Linked DNA regions of Elephas maximus indicus. The protein of the gene in region 1 purifies or fractionates together with the protein of each later gene. This does not show direct contact. Links are inferred from orthologs where the notes say so. Each region holds a gene or a part of one and is shown on either strand. Other genes may lie near its edges.

The links.
Region 2: the proteins of SMC3 (region 1) and REC8 purify together in Homo sapiens (affinity purification with mass spectrometry; 3 studies listed by BioGRID and IntAct, with this or other methods). This does not show direct contact. The link is inferred for Elephas maximus indicus from reciprocal best matches to the Homo sapiens genes SMC3 and REC8.

What each region holds. Positions count from the first base shown.
Region 1 is NC_064834.1:61,393,459-61,401,147, reverse strand, and holds the start of SMC3 (structural maintenance of chromosomes protein 3), read right to left. Parts: upstream 3,058-7,689; 5' UTR 2,912-3,057; coding exon 2,897-2,911; intron 1,647-2,896; coding exon 1,571-1,646; intron 1-1,570. UniProt on the Homo sapiens protein: Central component of cohesin, a complex required for chromosome cohesion during the cell cycle. The cohesin complex may form a large proteinaceous ring within which sister chromatids can be trapped.
Region 2 is NC_064828.1:35,520,531-35,528,680, reverse strand, and holds the start of REC8 (meiotic recombination protein REC8 homolog), read right to left. Parts: upstream 3,206-8,150; 5' UTR 2,809-3,205; intron 2,703-2,808; 5' UTR 2,541-2,702; coding exon 2,485-2,540; intron 2,401-2,484; coding exon 2,332-2,400; intron 2,193-2,331; coding exon 2,050-2,192; intron 1,966-2,049; coding exon 1,890-1,965; intron 1,781-1,889; coding exon 1,660-1,780; intron 471-1,659; coding exon 386-470; intron 29-385; coding exon 1-28. Other genes in the region: IRF9 (interferon regulatory factor 9), read right to left, coding at 7,034-7,222, 7,362-7,477. UniProt on the Homo sapiens protein: Required during meiosis for separation of sister chromatids and homologous chromosomes.

The DNA of each region.
Region 1 (7,689 bases):
ATTCCAACTCATAGCAACCCTATATACAACAGAACAAAACACTGCCTGGTCCTGTGCCATCCTCACAATCATTGCTGTTTGAGTCCATTGTTCCAGCCACTATGCCAATACAGCTCGTTGAGGGTCGTCTTCTTTTTCACTGACCCTCTACGGAAGATTCTACAGACTTCTGAGTAGAGTCTACAGAAGTAATTTAATCAATCTAGATAAATAATGGTCATTTTACAGGTCATTTATAAAACTATACAAATGAAATACTAAGGTATTTATTTCTACCGTGTAACATATCTGGAGCCCTGGTGGCAGTCGTTAAGGGCTTGGTGGCTAACCAAAAGGTCTGCAGTTCCAATCCACCAGCCGCTCCTTGGAAACCCTATGGGGCAGTTCTACTCTGCCCCAAAGGGTCACTATGAGTTGGAATTGACTTGATGGCAAGTGGTTTTATAACATGTAGAAATAATATAAATCTAGTAATTGTTCATTTTTCTCCATTTCTAGAGATTTTCTGATTGATGAAAATCAGAAAGCATCTATAATCAAAATGTAAGCAAAATTCCAGTAAAACCAAGCTATCTTTATGGCACATCAATTCAATTAACTAAATTTTCAAAATAGCTGGAGCAGGAAGAAAAGCATGTTTTCTTTATTTCCAACTACAAGGTTGCAACCAATGTATGGAGCACAGATAAAACCATTACATTAGAATAAAGGAAGTATGATTCTCCCAGGGTCTTCTGGGAACATTACCATCCACTGATTTTCTACATAAATCGTACCTAGTAATGAGGACACTGTATGACAAAACTCTGTCAACAGCATGTGTGTTTAGAAGCACTCATTTCATCTATCCTTTAAGAGTTGAGCAGACAGAAAACTTTCATTGGCTGTATCAGCAAAATGGACATTATATAATCTGAAGACTAAATATAGTATAATGGCAATCACTATTTAGTCCTTTTTCCTTACATTTATATATGCTTTCTCATTTAATCTTCCCAACAGCCCTATGAAAGAGATATCATTGTCCCACTTTGACAAAACAGAAGCTTCTCAGAGAGTAAAGTTTCAAACAGAACTGGGATTTCTGAACCCCATTCCATTATACTCCAAAATTTACACTCTTCCCACCAAGCTCTTAGACATTATGACAGGAAAAGAAAAACTGACAATCTAATTTATGACTAAAGAATGATCACCTGTGAAATAAACAGTGAGCATTTTAACAAGCATATGACATATATCAAGAACAGAATGGCTCAAACACTGAATTTAGTTCCATTCAGTCTAAATTTAAAAAATAGTTATCTAAGCTACTAAAACACACTTTCACACAAATAAGGTCACTCAAATAAAAATGAGTAACTTACAACTGTTTTACCCAAGAATTTTAAATTTACAAAATAAGCAATTCATCAGTGCAGATAAAGGACAAAGAGATTACTTCAAACAGATAAATGCATGCAATACTGAAAGACAATTCCTGTCTCCTCAAGCCAATAACATGGTTTGAATGGACAGAATTTATATGGCTGTATACATAAATCTGATCTAGTAAACCAGGAACACTTACCAATAACATTATGCTTTGAACTGAAGGGATCTACAATTGTTTGATCTCTATAACTTCGAAAACCCTGGATAATAACCTAATAAGTAAAAGAGATATTTTTGAGAACGCACACAAAAAGAAATAATTTCTAAAGTAACTGTTTTTCTTTTTAATTTTATTGTGCCTTAGGGGAAAGTTTACAGCGCAAATTAGCTTCTCATTCAAAAATTTATACACAAATTGTTTTGTGACATTGGTTGCAATCCCTGTCCATGTGACTGCACCCTCCCCTTTCCACCCGGGGTTCCCCGTAATTTTTTTTTTAAAGTAACATTTCTTTCCATTTTACTTTCTCATTTAACGCAAGTTAGAAAACTTTCCATTTTTTTCTATAAGAAAAAAACTCATTTTGGAAAGTGAAGATTAAAAATCTTTTTAAAACACTCCTTTTGTCAGTAAGCATTGCCAATTTTTTGTTTTTAAGAATCATAATTAGTGACCTATTAAGGAACTCTCAAACTCAAGTACCCTGCGTAAGCGTGACTGGAACACGCAACATTACATCCTATTGTAAAAGTGTATCATGGAGGCAGACCGGTCCCAGCTTTCCTGACTCCAAGCCCAGTGAGCGCTCCCTTCAGTCAAACATACCACCAGCCAAAACCAGTAAACATTCCAAAAGAGTCCTTGGAGTCCAACAATCCAATAGAAAACCTTTTCCCAAATAGCGTGAATTGGCTCATCTTTGTGGTGGACTCCTGCGCGGGAAGACCATTTTGACAGAAGTGAACAACTGAGTGAGGCGCTCCACCTTCTGCAGGAATGAGGATCCCCTTTTACTTCTCCGGTAAATCCGGGAGCCGAAAGGTCCCCGGTTGCAGCCGACACCCCAAGGGGCGCCCCCGACAGGGGAGACCGACTCTCCTCACATCCCCCCCCCACCACAGGGTTCCTTCGGGGCCATCTCTGCAGGATAGCACTGCCCTTCCCGCCCCCGGGCCGGCCGCCAGCCAGCTCTGAGCCCTCTCTGCCAGCGCTCCCGGCTCGGCCCCTGCCCCCGCCGCCGGCCCCTCCACACCTCCCCGAGATCCCGCTTCCCTCAGAAGAGACCCTGCGGGGGGGTGGGGCGGGCCGGGCTGCAGAGGAGCGCGCCCCAGTTCTCCGAGCCCCGCGACCCGGACGCTCGCAGGCCGGGACCTCGCTCCCTTCCCCCACAGGCCCCTGTCCAGCCTTGGGTCCACCGTTCGCGCGGAGAAGAGCGAGGCCGCGGGTCGCACTGCAACACCCCCGCCTCAAGGAGCGTTCCTCACGGACCAGCGACGGGCCAGGCGAGTGCGCAGGCCTTACCTGCTTTATGTACATTGTTCCGCGCCCGTAGCCAGGGAGAAGGCCTCCCTGCGGAGCAGTACCAGCACGGTGGCCGTAGGGTCAGGTAAGGCGCCTACGAGACCCCTCCCCCAAGGCGCCGCTCACTCCCCTCCAGCCAAACAAAATGGCGGCGCCCGTGGAGGCGGAGCCCGCGCCTCGGGCAAAACCACCCTTGCGGCCACCACAGAGTGTAGGAGGAGCTCGGGTCAGGTCGCTTTTTCTTTTTAGCAAAACGAGTCTTCTACAGCGTTGCTCGGTGTATTTCATTTGATTATTTAAGTTCGTGGCTGAGCCTTTCCTGTGACCTAATCAAATTTCATTCGGGGAAGCTTTGGCCGTGAAGTTGGGCCGTACCCCCTCCGAGCATGGAGTCAATGGTCTCATCCACATGGGGGGAAAGCTTCGGCGCCAAAGCCAAGTGTGAGACTCTGAGGGCCAGTTGCAGAGCGGGCTGGCAGCCACGTGATCCCGGGTTGTTTAAAAATGCGGACTCCCGAGCGGACGCCGCCAGTCATTGAACTCGGGAACGCTGGCGACAGCTGGAATGCTGCTGTGCAGAATCTCTGCTGCTCCATTATTGTCCCTCGCGCTAGAAGCTTAACAAACTTAGAACTCCCGCCCCGCCCACCCCCCCGCCCCAAACTGGCTCTGAACCACCTGCTCGCAGGACAGCCGGAAAGGGACTTGTCGAAGGCTGGAAAATTTCTTTTAATGATGTGATAATTAATACCCTGGGAGCTGTTACGGCTCTGCCATTTGCTATAAATCTAGGCGGTCCTGTACAACTGCAGCAAAAAGAGATTTACTGCGTGGGATTAAAAATGACTTTTTTTTTTTAAATATTGCCTCAAAGATACCAGGTACATGGGGCAGCCCTGTGTATATCTGATCCATATCAGTCCTAGAGGAAAAATTATTTGGTGAGAAATTGGATGTCTGGGCCGCTCTGAAATTACCTACTAGGAAGGGAACAAAATAGCCGCCTAAGTGGGTCCTCATAACCAGTGGAGTCACTAGACGGATGGGGGTGGTGAGAAGTGGCCACTGTACTGAGTGATACTGTCAGAGGAGATGGCACCAAAATGACTGTCTAAAAAGATTTTGTGCAGTGTTTCAGCAGAAATTTTTTATTTTTTAATAAAATACCCATGTAGTTAGTTATAACAAACACATTTTTCGTGAGGCCAGCTTACATGTGTTAATATACCTATAAGATAAACGCTATGCTAATTTACTTTTTGAACCTTCTAGAACGCTCTGGTTAGAGCTGTCATTATTACCCAATTTACAATGGTGCTTCAAGTCCTGTGGTTTTTTCTGCATGCTCTACAAGCACTCCTTATTTTCATTACTGCTGGTGTTTTTATAGTTACTGATTTAGTCAAATTATTTGGTGCTTTAGCTATAATATTGTGGTAATTCAGTATTTGTGAACCTGTATCAGTAACTTTTTTGAGAATGAAGTAGTGATAAAAAATTGATATACGGGAATTACGATTTACCAGTAACATAAATACAAAAAACATTACTGAGGACTTAGTATGGTCTGGTATATAGGTGAGGGGGGAGGGGGGTTTTGACACCAACCCTAGTGACCCAATGCCTGAAGCCCCATACCGAATCCCGCTAAGGGAGGGGCATTTCTGGCCCTAATTATCACAGATTTGAACAATTTAATAGTCTTCTAATTTCGTTGCCTCATAACATAATCCCTTTGGTGGTGGCAGAATCCTTTATCTGAAGCTCAGATCAAATCCTATCCAATCCTTGGCTTAAAAAACTTAATCTCTTTAAATATTTGGATTCCGGGTTAGCATCTCTACCCTGTGAATTTTTAATTGTGGGATTTTAGACATAATCTTATTTAGCTAAAATTATGTACCTATGAAATGATGGGAACCAAAACATTTGTCATGATTTTCACAGTCATAGAATTTTTACTTTCTTCCTTAACTTTTCCATATTAAATGAATCTTACACAATTAGTTATATAATTTATATAGTCAAAAAATAAAGATCAGTGAAAACCTAAAATGTCTAAAGGTGATTTAGAGAATTTAATGAGATTGTCTTCTTTATTTATATTTACAAGGAGCCCTGGTGGCCCAATGGTTAAACGCACCACTGGTAATCAAAAGGTTGGCGGTTTGAGCCCTGGTGGTTTGCTCCTGTAAAGATTACAGGCAAGAAAGCCCTATGGGCAGTTCCACTCTGTCACATGGGGTCACTATGAGTAGAAAGTAGACTTGAGAGCACCTAACAACAACATTTATATTTACATATTTATTGACTCTTTCCGCTATAATATACCTGCTATATTTATATTATATAAATATATTTCCGCTATAAAATTATATGTGTGTATATATATATATATATATATATGTATATGTATAACATCAAGACAGAAGGGACTTTGTTTTGCTACTGCTGTTTCCTAAGTAACTTATTCACAGAAAATACTCAACAAATATTTGTGAGGGAAAATGCATGAAAGCAAGGTACTTACCACAAAGCCTGACTTGTATATACTATTGCTATTGGTTTTTTTATTGGTATAAAAGGAGCCCTTGATGGCACAGTGGTTAAGGCACTCAGCTGCTAACCAACAGGTTGGTGGTTTGAACCCACCAGCTTCTCCACAGGAGAAAGACATGATGGTCTGCTTGTGTAAAAATTACAGCCTTGGAAACCCTATGGGGCAGTTCTACTCTGTCCTGTAGGGTTGCTATGAGTTGGAGTCAACTTGGCAGCAGTAGGTTTGGGTTTATTGGTATGAAAAGGTTACCCACCATTTTCTTCCAGAAAACATGTAACCAAACAACACATCGATCTCCTTTAGCCAGTATCATAAAAGCCATGTGCTATTGGGTGGGTTATCTGTGGGCAAAGTCACATTCTCAAACGAAATTCCCACCATAAAGCAGGAGACCAACCACACAATACCTACTTGCTCATGGTCAAGTAATGACAGCAATGAGTTTGGTTTTTTGTTTTGGCTGGCTTTTATCATCAAAATATCCCATTAACAACACATAGCATCATCTTCTTCCCTATTTTTACTTCTTTTCCCCTGGCCCCACCTCAGATTGATTCAACATCTCAGACACAGGTTCAAGATCCTTAGGCACACTGAAGGGGGTGGGGAGGGGCAGGAAGAAGCACTAAATCATAAAGTCTCCAAGAACAGGGTTTCTGTAATACCCAAAACATCAGTTTTACCAGTTGCTGTTGAGCCAGTTCCAACTCATGGCAACCCCATTGTTGCAAAGTGAAAGTGCACTCCATAGGGTTTTCAAGGCTGTGACCTCTCAGAAGCGTATTGCCAGGCCTTTCTTTTGAGGTGCCTCTGGATGGGTTCGAACCACCAACCCCTTCAGTTACTAGTCCAACCCTTAATTGTTTGTGCCACCCAGGGACTCCTGAGCCACACTTGTTAGTTGTTGTTAGGTGCTATCAAGTGGGCTCCGACTCATAGTGACCCATGTATAAAAACTAAAACGTTCCCTGGTCCTGCACCATCCTCACAATAGTAGGTACGTTTGAGCCCGTTGTTATAGCTACTGTGTCAGTCCATCTCCTTGAGTCTTCCTCTTTTTCACTGATCCTCTACTATAACAAGCATGATGCCCTTCTCCAGGGATTGGTCCTTTCTGATAACGTGTTCAAGGTAAGCAGAACAAAGTCTCACCATCCTCACTTTTAAGGACCATCCTGGCTGTACTACTTCCAAGACAGATTTGTTTGTCCTTCTGGCCAAAAAGAAAAAAAAAAAAAAGCCAAAACAAACCCGTTGCCATTGAGTCAATTCCAACTCATAGCGACCCTATAGGACAGAGCAGAACTGCCCCATAGTGTCTCCAAGAAGTGGCTGGTAGATTCGAATTGCTGGCCTTTTGGTTAGCAGCTCTAGCCAGCTGTAGCTCTTAACCACTGCCACCAGGGCACTGTTCTTCTGGCAGTCCATGGTATATTCAATATTCTTCACCAACACCATAATTCAAATGCATCAATTCTTCGGTTCTTCCTTTCTCATTGTCCAGGTTTCGCCTGCATGTGAGGTGATTGAAAATACCGTGGCTTGTGTCTGGCCACCTTAGTCATTGTTATGGATTGAATTATTTCCCCTTAAAATGTGTGTCAAGGATAGGCTGTGATTCCCAGTATTGTGTGGCTGTCCACCATTTTGTGATCTGATGTGATTATGCTCTGTGTTGTAAATTCTAACCTCTGTGATGTTAATGAGGTAGAATTAGAGGCAGTTACGTTAATGAGGCAGGACTCAATCAACAGGATTAAGTTGTACCTTGAGTCAATCTCTTTTAAGATATAAAAGAGAGAATTGAGCAGAGAGGAGAGGGACCTCATACCACCAAGAAAGAAGTACCGGGAGTGGAGCTTGTCCTTTGGACCTGGGTTCTCTGTGCTGAGAAGCTCCTAGACCAGAGGAATTTTGATGACAAGGACCTTCCCCCACAGCTGACAGAGAGAAAGCCTTCCCCTAGAGGTGGCATTCTGAATTCAGACTTCTAGCCTCCTAAACTGTGAGAGAATAAATTTGTTTGTTAAAGCTGTCCACTTGTATTTCTGTTATAGCAGCACTAGATAACTAAGACCATCATCAAAGTGACATCTTTACTTTTCAACACTTTGAAGAGATCATTTACAGCAGATCTACCCAATGCAATGTGTCATCTGATTTCTTAACTGCTGCTTCCATGGGCATCGATTGTGGATCCAAGTAAAATGAAATCCTTGACAACTTCAATCTT
Region 2 (8,150 bases), on another chromosome or scaffold:
GGAGAGGGCACAATACCCAGCATCCTTTCTGGAGGGTCAGGGGAGTCACATTAACCCTTTTGCTCCTTTCCAGGACCCCACACCCATACAATGAGGCAAAAGCACCAACTCTGGCATGAAGTCAACCTGTGTTCTAGTCAGGCTCATGACAGTCACAAGCGATCTGACCTTGGGTAGAGTGCTTAGCCACTGTTGGCCTCACTTTCCTCATCTGTAAGATGGGGATAAAAATTCTGACCTCATAAGACTCTTCTAAGGCAGTGGTGAGTTTACACATATAAAGTGCCCCTCACAAGGCCTGACTTCAGGGACAGCTCAAAGATAGTCATTTCCTCAGCTCTTGGGCCTTCCTATGTCTCACAGAAAGAAGGTTCTCTGTGCTCACCTGGCTCCCTGAGCTCTGGAGGGACTTCAGGAGGGATCTCCTCAAGAACTCTCTCTGGGGTCACGGCCTCTAAGAGGCGTCGAATCTTTGGGAAGGGATTGGGGACAAAAGATAGGAATCAGCATCAGCCCCCTGCTTTTCTACTTCCACAACCTTAGATATTCAGATCAAACCAAAAAACCAAACTCACTGCCATCAAGTTGATTCCCACTTATAGCGACCCTATAGGGCAGGGTAGAACTGCCCCATAGGGTTCCCAAGGAGTGGCTGGTGGATTTGAACTGCCAACCTTTTGGTTAGCAGCCAAGTTCTTAACCACTGCACCACCAGGGCTCCATAGTTATTCAGACAGTGGACAGTGATACCCTTTTATGTCTAATTCTCATTGCATTAACATCAGCCTGCAGTGAGCCCACTCCCCATCTGGTTCCCTTTCCTCCCATCCACCACCCCCCCCATCATCTAGCTTTTGTCAGTCCATCTATGCAAGAAGCACTGCACCCTTATGTCAAGTGTCATGGGGGACAGAGGTGAACAGAAAGATTTTTGACCTAGCAGAGAGACAGGTTTGTATATGACCCCTACAAGAGTCAAGGCAAAAGGTAAAACGTGGCTCTAAAAATGCCTGGAGTTCTGAAACAGCATTTGGTTCTGGCTGAGGGTGGGATAAAGGCGTGAAAAAGGGCAGCGTGTGAGCCAGGTCTGTAAGGACACAGAGGATGTAACTAGTAGAACATGAGAGATGACCATTTGAGCTACGGGGAGAAAAAGAGAACGTGGGGCTGAGGGGCCAGACTGGTGTTTGGCAGCCAAGGACACCCAGAGGATTTGCCGAGGAGAGAGCTGTCTGGAGAGGGCTAGCTCTGGACCACGGCATGGAGAGCCCCAAATGCTATTATTGTTTACAGTGAGGAGCTATTGGAGGTGTGTTTGAAGGAAGCGGGTGACATCCAAGCTGTGGGGGTGTGGGGAATGGTTTGGAGGTGGATACGGGTAGAGAAGCCTCATGCAGAGAGATGATGAGGGCCTGGATTAGGGTCTCGGCAGCAGGAACAGTGTGGAGATGAGCAGGGACAGGAGCTCCCTCCTGGGGAGAGACCATCCTAGCAGGCTGGCCTGAATGGGTAAGTGCCTGAACCAGCCCACCATCTCCTGTGAGGGAGAGCTATGGCAGGCCCCCTCCCCTAACCCACTGCCAGACTGGCACAGGGACAGCCCTCCACTTCTGCATTGTCACTTCATGAGTTGAGGTGTTCCAGGGGACTGAGCCCTACCTGAGGGATCTCAAAGGGGCTGGGAAGTCTGGGTTCCACAGCCATCATCCCAAAAAAGGGGTCAGGAGCATCTTCCAGGGTCTCCATCATGGCCAGGCGGCTAGGCAGCAGCAGGCTGGGTCTGGCGGGAGGCAGTGGGCTGTGAAGGACTGAGGCTGAGAAGGGTGGAGGCCAATCGGGTGGGCATCCCACCAAAGGCTGGGTGGGCTCAGTCCCAGGGGGACACTCACAGTTCAGCCTCTGCCATATCAATGCGGATCTGCATCTGGGCACGATGCAGCCGCTCCAGGATGTGCTGGATGTCCTCTGGGGGCAGGAAGGGTCAGCGCCGGGAGCCAGGCAGCCCAGGGCCACTCCGCTCTGCCCCACCTCCCAGGCTTCCCGCCTTACCCACAAGGTACTGGCATTGTTGGCAGTAGACCCGGATCACGCCGATCTGAAGCTGGGCTGAGAGATAGAGGGAGAACCGGGGCCGCGGCAGGCCAGGCTGCGGGGGCTCCACTCGAACCAACACGTAATTGAGGATTTCCTCACTGGGGGAGGATTTCACGTAATGGAGGATTTCCTCGCTGCCCACCGCTGCGCCGAGGACCGGCCTCACAGTCTTGCCCACCCCAGCCATTCCCTGACCCACCCAGGCACCAGGCCTCTCCTCCCTTCTCTGGGCCTTACCAGGTCTTCACAACGTTCACCTTGAGGTATTCCCGCTTCACCAAGCGGCTGCCGCGCGTAGCTGCCAGCCTGGAGCCGAGTGGGGTGGAGGCAGCGTCAGGCTGAGATTCCCGGCGCCCCTCCTGGAGCGCCCCCAGCAGGCCCCGCGCTTACCAGATTGTGGCGAAGCAGCCTGTGTGGCGCTGAAGCACGTTGGGGTAGTAGAACATCTTCCCTCCGCGGCTTCACCCTTGTCTCCGCCCCTCCTCCGTTTGGATCTCAATCCGAATTCTTTAGCCCTCGGGCTTTCCCAACACCGTCAGAGAGATAGATTTGGACAAGTGGCGTGCGGGGTGGCCCCAGAAAGCCAAATAAATGAACTGATGAACAATCTACGGATAAACAATTGAGATAAACAGATTCAATACGCATGTGTGGGACGCCCCTCTTCGTGAGACCTGAGTGGGTTCGCGCGCCGTATGGGTACTTAGAACTTACTTATTGGACCCTTCCGGATTGGGTTCCAGGCTGGAGATGCTGAGCTCCCAAAGGTTCAGCCCCAGCCCAGGTCCCAAGGGAGACCAGGTGTCCTCCGCAGTAGACCTTCCCAGCCTCTGGCGAGGTGCCGATTTCCTCCGTCTTTACACGCAGCGTGAGCACCTGCAGTCCCCGTCCTGGGTCGCCCCCTGCAGGACTAGATCCCACGGCAGGGAGTAAGCGCTCGGGTGCTTTGCATCTCGCTCCTTATTTGAGGGCGGAGACCCTCAGAACAGCCAATGGGGAACAGGAGTCGGGTTGGGCACGAAGCAGTCTGTCGGGGTTCGAGGCCACAGGGGTCTCCTGAGACAGCAGCGAACCAATCGGAAGAACCTGCGTGCTGCTGGGCCATTGTGAGGTGTCCTGTCCAATGGGCTCTCCTTCTCGCCTCTAGTAACAAGCATTTCTCCGAGGTGCTACTCCACTGACCAATGGGCGGAGAGCAAATCCCAGCCTCTCCCCCTCAGGGGACCTGGTAACAACAGCGGTTCACCAGCGGAGGTCGGGGTCATGTAGGGGGCAACCGCCCTGACCCTGTTCAAGGTGCCAAGATGTAAGGCGCCTGACCTGCGGTTAAACCCTGCCCTTCCCGCCAAATTCCATCAGTCAGTAATTGATTGGTCTGACTTTGTGCCCAGCCTATTGCCTGTGATGCTGGGGAGGTAGAAACGGTGTGAGGTGGATTCAGCCCGGCACAGGTCAATGAGGAAGTCAGATCACTTGTGAAGCAGTCAGAGAAATTGCCGGGTTGTAGGCATGCCCCATCTGGTCGTTCCAGTTGTAAATGTTCTCCTGGCTGGAATAGACTGTCCTCTGTTGGATTCAGGGCATAGTCATCCGCCTACAAAAGCCATTTATTTGTCACAAACATTCTTTGTGTGAAATTATGTTGTACGGTTGTACTGTGGTTACAAACCCTCACCATCCCCGTGCCTGCTGCCTCTGCACAGCCACTGCCTTGGCCTAGAATGCCCTTCCCCACTTTGACTCCAGACCTTCTGCCACTTTATTGCAGCTGAGCTGACACAATCTTGTTACAGCCTCCTTCCATCTGAGAGCTCTTGTTAGGGGGTCCTGTTTTTTTCAACCAATACCTGGCATCTAAAAAAAAAAAAAAGTATTCATCAAGTGAGCTTGCAGTTGCCCTAAATTTACCGCCACAGAATGTTAAAGCTGAAAGGAATTTAGAAATCATCTAGTCCAAGCCCTGCCTTTTCAGAGGAAAAAACAGGCCCATACAGACCCTCCCAAACTACACAGCTCCTTAGTGAAAGCATGGTTGTGAACTTCACTCTCTGGACTCGTGTTCCCAGTCCCTCTTCCACTGTGCTTGGCTAGATTGGCTTCTATGTGATACTTGCAAATTGTTTTAATCACCATACATAAGTTGTCAATATTTTTAAGTGCTCAGTTTGAGGCAAAAAGATAAAAAAGTGGGGGCACCTGCCTTTAAGGTGCTTAGAAACTAGTTTAGGAGATAAGGGACACAGAGTAATTGATTCACTCATTTGTCCACTCATTCCATAAGTATGTGCCAGGCACTCCTCTAGGTACTTGGGATACAGCAATGAATAAAACAAGTTTCTGTCCTTATGCAGTAGGAATGGAGAGATGATAAGCAAGTAGAGAAATAGAAATACGTCAGGTGGTGATCAGTGCTGTGAAGAAAAATGAGGCAGCATACAAGAGGAATAGTAAGTATTCAGATAAGGTGTTCATGTAAACCTTTTCTGAATATGTAACATTTTAACAGAGACCCAACTTAAGTGGGGGGACAAGTCTTGTGCCTTCTTGGGGGAAGAGTGTTTTAGACAGAAGAACCAGCAAGTGCAAAGGACATGAGGTAGAAATGTGCTTGGTAGGTTCAAGGAACCTGGAGCAAAGTGACTAGGGGAAAAATGGCAAGGGATGAGGTTAGAGAGGAGGATGAGAACCACATGACAAGGACCTTGGAGGCCATTGTAAGGATGTGGGCTTTTACCCTGAATTGGGAACCAATGGAAAGTTTTGAGTAGAGGTATGACATGACCAGATTTTATAGGTTAAGAAGATCTCTGCTTTATTGAGAATAGGCTGAAGGTGAATAAGAGTGGAAGCAGGGAGTCTAATTAGGAAGTTAGATATAAGAGATGATGGTAGTGTCTTGGTCATCTAGTGCTGCTATAACAGAAGTACCACAAGTGGATTGCTTTAACAAAGAAATTTATTCTCTCACAGTCTAGTAGGCTACAAGCCCAAATTCAGGGAGTCAGCTCCAGGGGAAGGCTTTCTTCTCTCTGTCGGCTCTGGAGGAAGGTCCTTGTCATCAATCTTCCCTTGGTCTGGAAGCATCTCAGTGCAGGAGCCTCAGGTCCAAAGGATGAGATCCGCACCCGGTGCTCCTTTCTTGATGGTATAGGTTCCCACATCTCTCTGCTGGTTTCTCTTTTATATCTCAAAAGAGATTGACTTAAGACACTATCTAATCTTGTAGATCTCATCAATATAACTGCCTCTAATCCATCTCATTACAAAATAGTGATAGGATTTACAACACACAGGGAAATCACATCAGATGACAAAATGGTAGAAAATCATACAGTATTGGGAATCATGACCTAGCCAAGTTGACAGATATTTTTGGGGGACATTCAGTCCATGACAGGTGATTTGTTCCAAAGTGTTGGTGGTGGAAGCAGGGAGAAGTGGTCAGCTTCTGAATGTATTTTTAAAGAACAATGATAGATTTGCTGGTGGATTGGATGTAGGGTATGCGAGAAAATGGAAGTCAAGGAGATAGCTTAGGACCTGGTACAAAGAAGGTTCAGGAGCAATTTCCAAAAATTAAAGGCACAACAAGGCTTTGGCACGTGAGGCACTGGGTACCTAATTTCTTCACTGGTAGCATGGACGCCTGTTTAGGCTCTTGGCTTCTTAGGAGAATGATGGGCAAGACTGAATAGAAGTTCGCAGGAGACAGAGAGGCTCAAAAGCAGCACTTAGTTTGTCATATAAGAGAGCAAGAGGAAGATCCTCAGAGAACCTGAGGCACTTGGATTTGATCACGCGGTGAGCCTCTGAAGTGACAAGACAGGAAGGAGTCTGGAAATCCCAGCTGGTGTCATGAGCAGGAAGGGGTAAGCTGGAGGCTGTGACAGTCAAGTGATGACCTGGGTCTAAACTCGTCTGGTGGCAGTGAGTATACAGAAAAGTTGTGTGACAAGTGGTCATGTGAAGGAAGAATTCCCAGTTTGGTGACAAAACGAACACAGGAGTTAAAAGAAAAGAGTGTTAGCTGATTTGGACCCCTCATATTTCAGTGAATGGGTATTGGTGACATGGTTGCCTAGGCTGTCTTTTTTTTTTGCTAGGTTGTCTTTTGTGGGACTCAGGTAGGGTGAGGAATTTGGTTTTGGGCATAACCTTCAGTCAAGGTGACAATGCACTTGTGCTGGGAGGGCCCCATCTGTCCCCACCGAAGCAGCCAGACACAGGAGGTTCAATAACTCTTCCCTCTGATTTCCCCTCCCAGGCCTCAGGCCTCTAGCCCAATTTCAGGTCAATCTCAACTGTCTCCTCTTTTCATTTAGAACTCCAGTCCAACTGCAGGCCTGTCGTTGAGGCCCTAACCAAAGGCTTCTAGCAAAGAATGGTGGAGTGCAAATTTTCCTTTGTGAAATAGGTGGTTGTAGTGCCCAGCTGTCATTTCAGTGCCCCTCTTGGTGACTGGCCCTGCACCTTCTCCTGATTCTAGTTGTCTAGAGGGTCCGGAGCCCACAGAGCCTAGACGGTCTGCTAGCCAGAAGTTGGGGACAGAGGAGAGAAAATAGGCCCGGAGATGTCAGCAGCAAGAGAACCCAAGTGCCCAGCTCCCAAGTTTACATCTCTGTCATCTACTTTTGACCCTGTTACCTTCTTCTCTCAGCCAATCAGATACTGATGCTTCTTTCAAGAAAAGTTTATTTAAAATGCTTAATGAAGTTCTAGGATGCAAATATAAAGTGCTTGGCTTTAGAGTTGGGGTGTAGGGGAAGAGGGAAAGGTCTCCTGAGTTTCAGCCATTTGGATTTTCCCAGTTCTTTAGAGATGAAAGAAGGTATACCTCAAAATTAAAAAAAAAAAAAGGGTGGGGGGAGGGATAAGGGGTAAAAATCATCCTTGAGTCTCCTACCACCCAGGGTGCATGAAGAGTTCAAGGCTGTAACCATCACAGACAATCACCGAGAATTATCACAGAGGAGTTCAGGTCACCAGTGTGGAGAATGTTTCTGTTTAAAGGAGAGAGGAAGAAAAGAGATGGGAAGGCGGGGGGATCCTCCAGGCTCAGGGGCAGAGTGGCTGCCTGCTCCTCTGGCATTGTCCTCTCCAGCAAATGTCGGGCAAAGGCTTGCTCCATCTGTAGAGGAAGAGGTGGGAAGAAGCCATCAGTGAGTGCAGCACAGCAGGTACTACCTACAAGAGCTCCTTCCCCATGGAGGCCCTTTTCCTCCCTGGAGCCCGATCTGCATGCCCCGTCCACCCTGCCCTGAACTCACCTGCACTGTAATAAGACTCTGTGGGTTTTGGCTAGGGTCAGAACTTTCCTCCCAGAAATTCAGGGTCACCTGGAACTTGGGTGGGGGGCCCAGGCCCTGGTTGTACCTGGCCAAGTCTGAAAGAGAAAAGGTCGGGGTAGGAAAAAAGAAAAGAGACAAGAGAGAGGGCAGCAGGCAGGGAGGTGGTAGGAGAAATCCCTGATGGTCAAAGAGAGGTGGGAGTGGGGCCACTTGGAGACCAAGGTCAGAGCAGAGGCTGCGGGGTCATGAGGCTGTTGCCTTGGATCAGGAGAAACACTAGGCACTAAGCAGCTACTGACCCATGTGCAAACAGAAAAAGGTGCCCCTTGCTCAAAGTAAGACACGTTGACAGTGAGCAGATTATTACACAACCTGAAAAGGAATCCCTAGCACAGCTGAGTCCTCACAGATGACAGCCCTGGTTGCTAACCCTCATCTTTGCTGTTGCTAACTATCCCCCACCCCAAACACTAGGTTACACATGGCCCTGGGAGCATCTCCATTGTGTTCCCTATGCTCCTGACTCTACTTCCACAGTCAGGTTTAGTGGGGGCAGGAACTGGAATTCCAAGAGTGGGTGGGTAAGACAGCAACCTTAGGGGATTCCTAGAGGTGGGAATAGGGTGGTGCCAGGGCCAGTGTGTGGTGTGCACCAGCTCTCCCAAGTGTGTGGATGGCGTGTGTGTCAGAGCGCGTGCAAGAGAGGGCCAGGGGGCCCCAAAGCTCTGTGCTGACTTGTCTGTGTACTTTTCACGTAAGTTATGTAAG